Oryctolagus cuniculus: one gene and its partners. The protein of the gene in region 2 binds, or shares a complex with, the protein of the main gene of each other region. Links are inferred from orthologs where the notes say so. Each region holds a gene or a part of one and is shown on either strand. Other genes may lie near its edges.

Evidence for each region.
Region 1: the proteins of INTS4 (region 2) and INTS9 are in contact, whole or in part, in a cryo-EM structure (PDB 8RC4), measured with the Homo sapiens proteins. The link is inferred for Oryctolagus cuniculus from reciprocal best matches to the Homo sapiens genes INTS4 and INTS9. Residues at the interface, in NP_291025.3 of Homo sapiens: Leu53, Gln54, Leu57, Gln58, Arg61, Lys62, Pro86, Ser87, Leu90, Lys91, Ser94, Gln125, Gln129, Asp132, His164, Gln207, Asp208, Pro209, Arg210, Arg212, Asp244, Tyr245, Glu246, Gln247, Trp296, Phe837, Gly840, Leu841, Val842, Val843; in NP_060720.2 of Homo sapiens: Lys2, Tyr4, Lys18, Ser21, Thr22, Leu43, Val44, Gln45, Glu87, Glu89, Leu90, Asp92, Asp97, Thr122, Glu145, Arg146, Val147, Pro148, Lys159, Glu174, Ser176, Thr177, Ser192, Gln195, Phe206, Gly207, Ile379, His380, Ser384, Asn385.
Region 3: INTS4 (region 2) and INTS6 share a complex: the UniProt entries of both Homo sapiens proteins name them as parts of the integrator complex. The link is inferred for Oryctolagus cuniculus from reciprocal best matches to the Homo sapiens genes INTS4 and INTS6.

Annotation. Positions count from the first base shown.
Region 1 is NC_091433.1:45,205,053-45,208,797, reverse strand, and holds the start of INTS9 (integrator complex subunit 9), read right to left. Parts: upstream 2,488-3,745; 5' UTR 2,322-2,487; coding exon 2,313-2,321; intron 1-2,312. UniProt on the Homo sapiens protein: Component of the integrator complex, a multiprotein complex that terminates RNA polymerase II (Pol II) transcription in the promoter-proximal region of genes.
Region 2 is NC_091432.1:69,001,888-69,005,532, forward strand, and holds part of INTS4 (integrator complex subunit 4), read right to left. Parts: intron 3,520-3,645; coding exon 3,362-3,519; intron 3,157-3,361; exon of another isoform or gene 2,942-3,156; intron 1-2,941. UniProt on the Homo sapiens protein: Component of the integrator complex, a multiprotein complex that terminates RNA polymerase II (Pol II) transcription in the promoter-proximal region of genes.
Region 3 is NC_091440.1:70,841,670-70,845,414, reverse strand, and holds the start of INTS6 (integrator complex subunit 6), read left to right. Parts: upstream 1-1,529; 5' UTR 1,530-2,076; coding exon 2,077-2,187; intron 2,188-2,332; exon of another isoform or gene 2,333-2,422; intron 2,423-2,569; coding exon 2,570-2,647; intron 2,648-3,437; coding exon 3,438-3,587; intron 3,588-3,745. UniProt on the Homo sapiens protein: Component of the integrator complex, a multiprotein complex that terminates RNA polymerase II (Pol II) transcription in the promoter-proximal region of genes.

The DNA of each region.
Region 1 (3,745 bases), on a different chromosome or scaffold from region 2:
ATTGATCAAACTTCCTTTTTCTCTGAGGCCATCTTTTGCTTTTTAAAGGAAAAATCAATTTCTACTCTTTTCCATGTTTTCACATTTTAAAATAAATTATGAAGGAGGATTTAATGGACAAATCAAGTTACATGTTAAGTGAATCCTGGTTCTCTGGCACCTTCAAAAATGAACTGTTATGGAGAAAACTTTTTGGTACTTCTCTGCCTTCTCAAACAGAGCCTATCAAATACACTCTATCCTTTACTGAGGACACAGGGTCTGCATTCCAACTGTTAAGGTGACAAGCTCTTTTGCCCTATAGACAAAACTCTTTTCATGGAATGCTTTGGCCTACTTTTCCTTCTCATCAGTTCAAGTGCCACCTTTCCGGGACGGGTAGTGTTGCACAGCAGGTTAAGCTGCCACTTGTAATGCCTGCATCCCACACTAGAGTGCCAACTTGATTCCTGCTTCTGATCCAGTTTCTTGCTAATATGGCTGGGAAGGCATAGGAAGATGGCCAAGCACTTGGGCCCCTGATACCTATGTAGGAAACCAGCATAGAGTTTATGTCTCCTGGCTTTGGCCTAGCCTGGATCTGGCTGCTGTACCAACCTGCACAGTGAACTGGTTGATGGAAGATCGATTTCTCTGTTGTCCCACCTTTTTTTTTTTTTTTTTTTTTTTTTTGACAGGCAGAGTTAGACAGTAAGAGAAAGAGAGACAGAGAGAAAGGTCTTCCTTTTTCCGTTGGTTCACCCCAAGAGGCCGGCACACTGCGCCAATCCGAAGCCAGGAGCCAGGTGGTTACTCCTCATCTTTCAAATATACATCTTTTTAAAAATTGATACCTCAAAAAAAGTCACCTTTCTGAAAATTGTCCTTACCTCCCACCCCCAATCACCAGTCAACTTAGTTCCCAAAACACAGAACATCCTTTATTTTAGCGTGAACACAGTGAATTACAGATAATTTTGGCTTACTTTTCTATCTTCTTTAGGCCACATGCCTTTTTAGGGCAAGGGCTGTGATTTTCAATTCTGTACCCCTAAATGCCTAGCACACTAACCACGAGGCAAACTGATACGCTCAAAGTTTACTGACCTGCATTGTGACCCTTTCAGGCATGCTTCAGGGGTGGGGAAGGTCAGGCCCAACCGGCGCAAGTCATTTGGTCTGGCCCTGCCAAATCATCCGCAGGCGGGACTTAAAATTCAATGTATCTATAGCAGGCTCATTTTCAAGTTGATACTTTTGTGTGGCCCAAGAATGATGTTCTAAACATCCAAATGGCCCTTGGCAGAAAAAAGGTTCCCCACCCCTGAAAGGGAGACAGTTTGGGAGCTGAAGCTACTTTTAATACTTTCCTCACAGAAAACAGCTGGTGGGTTATCAGATGAGAGTGTGTGGGCTGTGTGGCTCAGGAAAGCCTATTCAAATAATTACAGAAATGGGAAAAAGAAAGTTTGCTTTTATATAACAATTACAGAAAGAAAAACTGGACAATCATTTGGCTGCAGGAACACAGATTTTTAAAGTGTTGAGAAACAGCATTTCACACCTGTTTTTCTTCTCTCCTAATTACACTATTACTAATCTGAAACAGCTGGAATAAGCTGACTTTTTGGATCTGTGCACACAATGACAATAAAATGGCTCAAAACAAAGGTCTGAGAAGCTTTCCTGTGAGCCAGCATTGAAGCTTTGCAATGCAAAGATTTCTCCAGGTAGAATGGCAGCTGCATCAAGCTTTGGTCTTGCAGTCCCTACAATCTCAGAGTGGAATGCCTTGACACTTCCTCTCTGCCATCCAGATCCTAGGCAGTGTTTGACTCAAATCTTCCTACATCATGCTCTGACCTCGTTCTTCTTTGGATTCGAAGGGCTGTTAGTAGTTGGTAACAGGAAACGTAATGAGTGATTACGTTCTGCCCAACATTTTCTACTCTGTTCGAATCTGATCAGCCTTCCAACGACGGTAGGGAGACGGGCTAATCAAGAGCCAACTGAATGGAAAGAGGTTGTTAATCCATCCTAACATTGGGAAGCTGAGAAGCAAGCCCAAACCTAGCTCATAGGGCCCAATCTTAGCTCACAGGTGAATATTACGGTCAACCTCTTGCCTCCCAAAGTGAATAAAACCTCCTGGCAGCTTTATGTTGGGGGTTAGGGGGGCCAGCGGTCAGGAGAGGCAATTCAAACCTTCTCCACAACAAAAGCAGCTCTCCTCCACCCACCCCCCTTTCCACGGAGAACCGTGACTGTTCCTTGCCCATATCCAAAATGGCACGGCATCACTTTTGCCCTCCGACCTAGGAGCGAAGACTCACCAGTTTCATAATGGACTTTAGGTTTTTCAGTATCTGTCTCAGGACTCCTCAACTCCAGCATGTGTCTTCCGGTTCAAGCTCCTTCTCTGGCCCGCCGAGAGCATCGCGGGACTTGCAGTCTTTCTTCCTCACGCCCCCTTCCCGGACCATCATGGGAAATGTAGTCTTCCTTCTGGGCATCATGGGAACTGTGGTCGTCTTTCCTTTTCCTCCCTTTACTAGCCGAACGCCTCCTTCCGTCGGCTCAAATTCATCCCCGCCGCCAATTCATCCTCCCTCTCCACCCCAGCATGATATCATGTCCCCTGTATGGGCCTGGGACCCATGGTATTCTGGGATATGTAGTCCCGACGGCCTCGTCCCCGCTTTCCCCGCCTCCCTGTGGGAAGGCGGATGGGCGCGAGACTTGCCGGGAGCTGTAGTTCCCTGGGGCCTCCAGACGCCGAACTCGGTGCTTTTACTCAGGGGAGGCAAGAACTACAACTCCCAGGGATGCCTGGCTGCAGCAGGTGGGAGCGGGGCTGTTGATATCAATATGGCGGTTGTCAGCCAGACAAAGACAGTCAGTCTGATGTGATTGAGACAAGGGAGGTTTTGAGGGGGAGACTGGGAGATAGGGGCCTCCCCTCCCCCTTCTCCTCTTCCTGCGCCGGCCTCAACCCCTCCCCAGTCCCCTCCCGACGGGCGCCCCACGCGGAAGACACCCCTCCCCCTCCCGCTTTCCCTCCTCCCTACCTCAGCCCTTCGTACTGGGACGTTGGGGAGGGGGCTGTGCCGGGCGGAGAGAACTCAGCAAGGATTCTGAGGTGAGTCGAGTGGATTTGAAGCCGGACTACCTCAAGTCTGTTTCTTTACTTCTTTCTCTTCACTTAAGAAAATTTGGTGTGGGGGGGAGGGGTCTGGGGAGAAAGTGAGCGGACGCTGGGGATGGGTCTCCTAAGCGGCCGGATTGAGAGGAGGGAGGAAGCAGGGGGCTTCCGAGTGAGTGACCGGGACACGGGGTGTGGGGTGGGGCAGTTTGCGAGGGACAGGAATTGAAAGGCGTCGACTGCTCCCCAACTCTTTTCTCCTGGTTTCTTCCTCTACTATGGGCGGAAGGTTGGAGGTGGGGGTCTCCTGCTTGGAGTTTGGGAAACTACGAGGTGATTTTGAGGTGTGTCGGTGTGTAGAACTGTGTTTTAAACTGTGTGACGTGTACTTCAGTGCTGCGCTCGTCTTGAAGAAATGTCTATAGATAGGAAGTTAGATCGCTAGAGTCATAGCTAGTCCTGGGCCTGGGCTGAGAAGCGTGCGTTGAGGTCCTGGTGCTGGACGTTTGGGCTGGCGACGTGGTGCGGGGTTGCTGGACTCAGCAAGTCGTTTATGTCCCATTGCCCGCTCACATTCCGCCACCCGCCTCCCGTCCCCTCCCCTGGTATAAATCTCCACCCCAA
Region 2 (3,645 bases):
TCTAAAACTAAGTAAATTGGTGAAGGCGAAGAAAAAGAGAATATGACTGAGGTATCACTTCACAAGTGATGCAGCAAGGAACAGAATCTTGGCTCACAGAGCCAAGGACTGTCCACAGCTTATGAAGAGGCAGGACACTTTTTCTGTAAAGGTCAGAGAATCTATATTATGGGCTTTACCAGCCATATGGTCTCTGTGGCAAGTATTCAATGCCCTATCATAGCATGGAAACAGCCACTGACAATACCTGAATGAATGAGTGTGGCTGTCTTTCAATCACATCTTACTCACAAAAGCAGGCAGCAGACCATATTTAAAGCACTGCTTCTGTCACACTGCAAACACTCAATAAATATCAAAAATATGACTGAGCAAGAGAACAAATTATGGTGCTAAAATCACTTCATGTGTTTGAAATCTTTATTGTTACTGATCACAGAGATGGTATCACACGAACACTTCATCACTTAGAATATCACTGAGCCTTAGCCTGTGTAGCCAATGCAGCTTCTTCACACTACTTGGCTTTCTTTACCAGGTTCCAACTTGATAAGGATTTGTGTCATTCCAATCATTATGCAACAAGCTTTCACTCTTTTGAGTTCTGCATCATTACTGGCAGTATTGCCTCCAACAGTTTATGATATTAAGTCCATAGCAGTATTCTCTTGTCAGACTGAAAAAGCTTGCTCGCTGGGACCTTGTGAACTTGCCCTACTAGGGGCTCAGAGCCACTGGAGGCCCTGCTGCCAGAGTAGCTGAAGGAACCTCAGAGTGGCAGAGCCCCTACAGGCCTCTGTGCAGCCTTCCCAGAGCACAGCAAGGAACACCCCCTGGAAGCGGTGCAGGAGGCTACTTGTGCCCTTGGTGCCACCCACAATCATATACACAGGGGCAGGCATTCTCAGCCCAGCTCAGCCTGCCCCATGGCACTGCCACAGGAGCCTAGAACAGGCTGTGACATTTTATAGGGTTAGTGGATTACCAGACTATTCATTTACTACTCCCAATTTCTCACTCCCACCAATGTCCAACTAGTTACCAAGTCTCCTAATGAGTGATCTAAAACACACAGAAATTTGGTATTTGGGCTATGTGAATCTGGCTTCCTCACACATATTCCAATCTTCACTTAATGTAACTTCCTGGACTGCATTGCCTGTGAAGTTAAAAACTGCATTTCCTTTGGAGGCAGGAGTTGTGGTACAGCAGGTTAAGCCAACACCTATGATGCCAGCATCCCATATGGACACCGATTTGCATCCCAGTTGCTCCACTTTTAATCCAGCTGCCTGTTAATGTACCTGGGAAAGCTGCAGAAGATGACCCAAGTGCTTGGGACTCTGTACCCACATGGGAGACCGGATAAAGGTACTGGCTCCTGGCTTCAGTGTGGCTGGGTCAAGCAGTTGCAGCTATTTGGGGAGTGAACCTATGGATGAAAAATCTGTCTCTCCTCCATTCTCTATAACTCTTTCAATAAATAAATAAATAAATCTTTAAAAACAAATAGAAAAACTACAGTTCCCAGACTCCCTTGAGCTAATTTCCACATACGAACCATCAAACACAACCAGTCAAACACAATCTCCCAAGTTGTGCATAAGGAATGAATTCAAGTGGGAGACAGAGTACAAGACAAGGTTGTGAAGCCAACAGCTAGATCACTAGCATCCTGACTCAAAGGTAGCTTCTTCATTATAGAAGGAATACCAGCTCTTTTGGTGGTCTAATAAGCTCTGGAAATTCAACCTGGACTGTATCTTTAGCCTTCCCAATTATTATGTGAGTCATATAACATACTGTCACACATTTTTCTCTGCTGAAATTAGGAAAAGCCTTTTTTTTTTCCCTACAAATGAACCCTGAGCAATTAACTTGCCTAAGGACACACAACTATTAAGTAGTTGAGCTGACACTTGAACCCACATCAATCTACTTTGAAAGCCCCATTCACTCAATCCTAAACTGCACCACTGCAGCTTTGCAAGGAGACCTTTCTCCCTCATCTCCTGGCTCTTCAGAATTTCCCCCCATTACCTGCACTACCAAACTCACAAGCTCAGTCATCATTTCGTACTGGGTCTTCTTCTCTGCGAGGCATCCCTGACCACTACCACGTTGACGAATCACAGTCACATGTTTCTGCACAGCACTAAACTTCTCTCCACTATAGCATTTAGTCCATCAATGATTTCTCACTAGGTCCTGTAACACACACTGAGTACCTTGAGAACAAAGGCCATTTTGTATTTCCCTCTATCCTTGGCATCTGGTCTATTAGAATAAATACAAGGTTAATGTTGCAAAGTGAAAGAATGAGTAACTGACATGACCTAACATAATGGGGTCAGTAATGTAAAGGATGGTGCAGCAGAACTGCTTCACAACACATTAAGATGCAGCAATGGACAGAGACGCATGAGTAAAGTAGAAAGCACTACTCTGCACCGCCACACTGTCTATGTCCATCTTGCGTCCATGGGCTCTCTAAGGGCAACACCCTATCTGGCGATCTGCTTCCAGCATATAGCTTGTTTCTCAGTATGGAATAAAGTTATCCAGTCAGTGAATGCGGCTGATAGGAGACTTCTCAACCAAGCAACAAATAGTAACATATTTTTCTATTGTTGTAAAAACAAACAGTACTGCTTTTACTAAAGGCAAATGGGTTTCAATTCTTTTCATAGCATTCAGATCATTCTAATAAAGTCAGGCAGAACCTGTTGATTATTCTTCAGTATTTTTTTCTCCCCTTCGTCCTGAGTAAGAGTCATCAAATATTAACCAGGCATCAGTTACCCAAAATAAAGACTACATCTCACTTAAGTTCTAACCTATGGGATGCAAATAAAATTAGAGTGTGCAATGTTTGGAGTGTACCTAACAAGGGGTGGGAATGGAAATGATCCCTTTTCTTGTTCTTTCCTTTGTCCCACAGGCAGGAAAATAGAGATTAGACCTTGGAAATTTAGGCAGAAGCCAAGTAGTGCAGAAGATGGAGACACAAGAACAAGCCTACATTTACAATGGTCATCTCAGCATTTTTCCTGTCTATGAAAGAGAATTAAACTTTCCTCCTAATAAGCCACTGTTACATTGCATTTCTGTCATCGATCCTAACTCATAGACAAGAAATAAAATTTTAAAAGTTTCTTTTGTACTGATCAAAGAGTTTTTTTTAAAAAAATATATTGAAACCACACTAAGACCCAAATGGCAATAGTTCCTAAAACCATGTGGGAAAACAGGCCAAAAGTCAGAAAATCAAGCCTAACAACCAACACCAGCATTCAAAACCATTCAAACAGAGCAGGACGGCAATGCAAACTCAGAAAGAGAAAAGTGACGGTTGCCATACCTGATGGTGAACTCTAGCAGCTCCTGGGCACCCTGAGGGTCCAGGTGCTGAAGACTGTACACTCTTTCCAGGCTCTCCTGCAGGAACTGCTGGGAAGGGTCCTCATGAGGAGTGATGCTGGGAGAGATGGCTGATGACAACACTTTTCTACCTGGTAACTAAACAAACACAGCGGGATTATAAAGCTATCAAGTTTCATGGCTCAACATTTGGTAACACAAAGAAACCACACAAAATGAAAGCCAAACAAAGCAAAGGGGAAAAGCCTAGGAGATATTGTAAAT
Region 3 (3,745 bases), on a different chromosome or scaffold from region 2:
GTACTCCGTCATAATTTTTAGTCCAAATACTCTTACAAGTATCCATACCTCTTCTATGGTCCACACTTACAAAACACTTTTCACTGAAATAGCCTGACTATAAATTAACAAAAAATCTCCAAGGTTGTCATAAATATCGGGAAGTTTTGAAACTCAAGATTTTAAAAAAAAATGCCACAACATGTCTTCTGTGTTAATAGGAACAATTTCTTTAAATGATCAGTAGGCACATAAAATTTCAAGATTAAAGAATAAAATCTGGAAAGGACAGGCTAACGGGAGGCGTCCTACAAATTAGCTATCCCTACAAAGGCCGCTTAATTAAGTCTCTTAATTGTATCTAAGGCAGTCTTCATTTTTTTCAGCGAGTTCGAGGAAGCTGTTTTTCTCGGAGCAGATTCATGACTTCAGGTAAGGCAGGGGCTTGACCGAGACTGCTTCTCACACACACACACGGGTTTTGGAGTTGGAGGGGCTGCTTGTAAGGGAGGGTTCTGGGAACCCCCGTCACTGTGTTATCTGGGCAAGTTCATGTCAGGTTTTTCACTTTAAAATGAGGGCAATGGATGATTTGCTAAAGTCCCTTTCAACTCTGAAACTGATATCCTATGACCCTGAGTAAACAGCTTGGAAAAAGTCTTTTTCTCTGGGAAGGAGCAGTTACGTTTGCTCAGGATAAAAAGGGTAGCAAAGCACTTATCCATAAGCTCCAGTCTCTCCCTAGGCCGTTCCCGGGTTCGGCGGCTTTCTGGGTGCCCCTTCCGACGGCAAGGCTCCGGGTCTGCCGAGCGCCGCCCTCAGCCTTCGGCCGTCGCCCCCGCAGCGCCCGAGGATCCGGGCGAGGCGAGGCCCTCGGGCCCACTCCCCAGCGGGAGCGGTGTGACTCGCCGCGATTAGTCCCCGGTCATAAACAACCTCTCACTTCCCCTCCCCCGCCCCGGGCCCGCCCGCGCTGGGCCGGCCCTCCCAGGCCCGGGAACCTCCTCCCGCCACCGCGGGTCCCGAGCCTTCCTCGCGAGGGCGGCCGCGGGCCTGCCCCCTGCCCTTAACCGAGTGTGTGTTCACTTTACTCAGCCCTCCTCGGTCGTCCACGTTACCAGCGACCTCGGAGGGCGAGCTGAGGACAATCTCCATTTGCCTTCCTCCGACCCCTGTCACCTCCAACAGCCAAGGAGAGGCCAGTGGCCCTGACGCGCAGGCTCACAGTGGCGGCCGCCCTGCGCGCGCCGACGCAGCCCCCGCCCCCCACCTCGCGGTCCTTCCGAAGCCAGTCCCCGCCCCTTCCCAGAGCCCGCCTCCGCGACGGCCCGCCTGCTCGTCCCTCGCGCTCGCTCTCGCGCGCACCCGACGCCCCGCCTCCGCGCATGCTCGATAACAACCCTCAGAGCCGGCCTACAAGCAGCCCCCGCCCCTGACCTGTTTGAATATGCTAATAAGAGCCTCGGGATTAGCCAATGGAGCTGCGGGGCGGTGCGTCACGTGGCCCGGGGACGTGTCAGGGGGCGGAGCCCCCGCAGCCCCTACCCGAGTTAAAACCGGAGTGTGAGAGAGAAAAGCGCTTCAGTAGCGAGAGGGGCTGAGAAAGTGGTGACACCGCCGGGGTGCGGAGGGAGTCCCTGAAACTTCTCCCAACAGCCCCAGGGCCAATCTCCCCTCAGCCCACTCCCCTCTTCGCCAGCTCCCAGGTCCCCACTCCCTGCACCGGGGGTGGGGTGGGGGAGCCAGGCCCGTCTCCCGCTGGGACACACACAGGGGCCGGGAGCGGGGACGGGACCCCCGAGGCGGGGGGGACGGACCGACAGACAGACGGCCGGGCGCCCGCCCCAGCGGGCAGGCAGGCAGGAGGAGGCGGAGGCGGGGGTACGACGGGGAGGACTGGGTCTGGGGAGTTTCCTCTCAACTATCGGGGGAGAAACTCCCCGCAGCCGGAGGAAAGACCCAGACGGTGTTTTCCTCCCGGGGGCCGCGCTCCCCCGCCCCGCGTAGCGGCGGCGACTGCCGCCGCCACCGGCGCCTCCACCTCTACCATCTCCTCTTTCTCCACCACCTCGGGCCCCGGTGTCCCCGGCCAGCACTATGCCCATCTTACTGTTCCTGATAGACACGTCTGCCTCTATGAACCAGCGCAGCCATCTGGGCACCACCTACCTGGACACGGCCAAAGGCGCGGTAGAGACCTTCATGAAGGTACCGACTGACCGAGCCCGGGGCGGCGACCCCGGCCCGGCGGCCCGCGGGCGGCAGGGTGGGGGAGGGCGGCTGGGGGCGGCGGGGCGGGGGTGTCGGGGACCTGACTGCGGGAGCTGCCGGGCTCCGGGACCCCCTCCCCCACCGCGCGGGCGGGCGGGCGGGCGGGCGCTGCGAGCCGGGCTCGGCCCGGGCCCGGGCTCCGGCCCCGGGGCTGGTGTGTAGGGAGCGATCGGTGTGTGTGGGGCGGCGTGGAGGGGTGGCCGCTGCGTGTGCGGATACTGTGGGGGGCGGCGGGGGACGCTGGGCGCCCCTTCTTCGCCTCGTAACCTCGCCTCTCTGCTTCCCTCTCGCCCGCCCCGTTCCTCCTCCCGGCCCGCAGCTCCGTGCCCGGGACCCTGCCAGCAGAGGAGACAGGTATATGCTGGTCACTTTCGAAGAGCCGCCCTATGCTATCAAGGTAACAGCCCTCGCCCTCCCCCTTCCCTTCCTTCCCTTCCCTGTTCCTTCCTCGCTCGCCCTCCCCGCCCCCCCATTCACCCTTCATTATGCTCCCCTCCCCCACCCGCTGCGCTCCCGGGGCGGAGGGCCCTTCCCCTGCGGGCTCCCACCCCCCTCCCCCGCTCGGGAGCGTCCCGGCGCGGCGCGGACTCGCCGGGCCACCGCCGTCCCCTCCCCGGCCCGGCCCGGCCCCGCGGCGGCAGCGGCGGCGGCGGCGGCGCTGCGATCAACATGGCCGACATTTCCCCTCCGCGGCGTGAGCGGCAGCAATGAACTGTGGGGGATATTTATTCAAGTTAGCCCGAGTGACAGCCGGGCCCGGCCGCGCCGAGCCCCGGTTTGCATTAAAGGGGAATCAGGCGCGCCGAAGGGGGCTGCGAGGCTGGGGCTGCTCGGATTCGCCCTGGGAGGGCTGCTGGAGGTTAACTTCCCAAGTGCCGCTCCCGGCCGCCTGCCCCTAGGACGTTTGCATCCCCACATTTTGAGTGTTAGATTAGGTAGTAGATTTCCCAGTGTGAAGTTAGAAAGTGTGCAGGCTGCTGGCTACCAAAAGCTGTAGAGCAGGCCGGTTGCTTGCCGGCTACCTTTGGCAGAGAGTTTCCTCAGCAGCGATAACAGTATTAACACGTTAACCCAACCATGTCAACCCAAAGTGAAGCAGCTACATGGTGCACGTCAGATTGTAACGGCTGGCCGTGTGCATTTAGCGTTACAGGAAGAAAAAAAAATTCTCACGTTTTTCTTTTCAGGCCGGATGGAAAGAAAACCATGCAACGTTTATGAATGAACTGAAAAACCTTCAGGCTGAAGGACTTACGACTCTTGGCCAATCCCTAAGGACAGCTTTTGATTTATTAAATTTAAATAGATTAGTAACTGGCATAGACAACTATGGGCAGGTAGGTTGAATATTAAAAGTGGAAAAATAGTTGATTTTTCTTGTGGGGAAAAAGAAAACAGCCCAGTCCCAAACTATCTAAGGTGAAGTGCAAGTGTGGAACATTTCAGAGTAAAATACAGTATGCACATAGTACAAAGGTGAAGCTCCGACTTACTG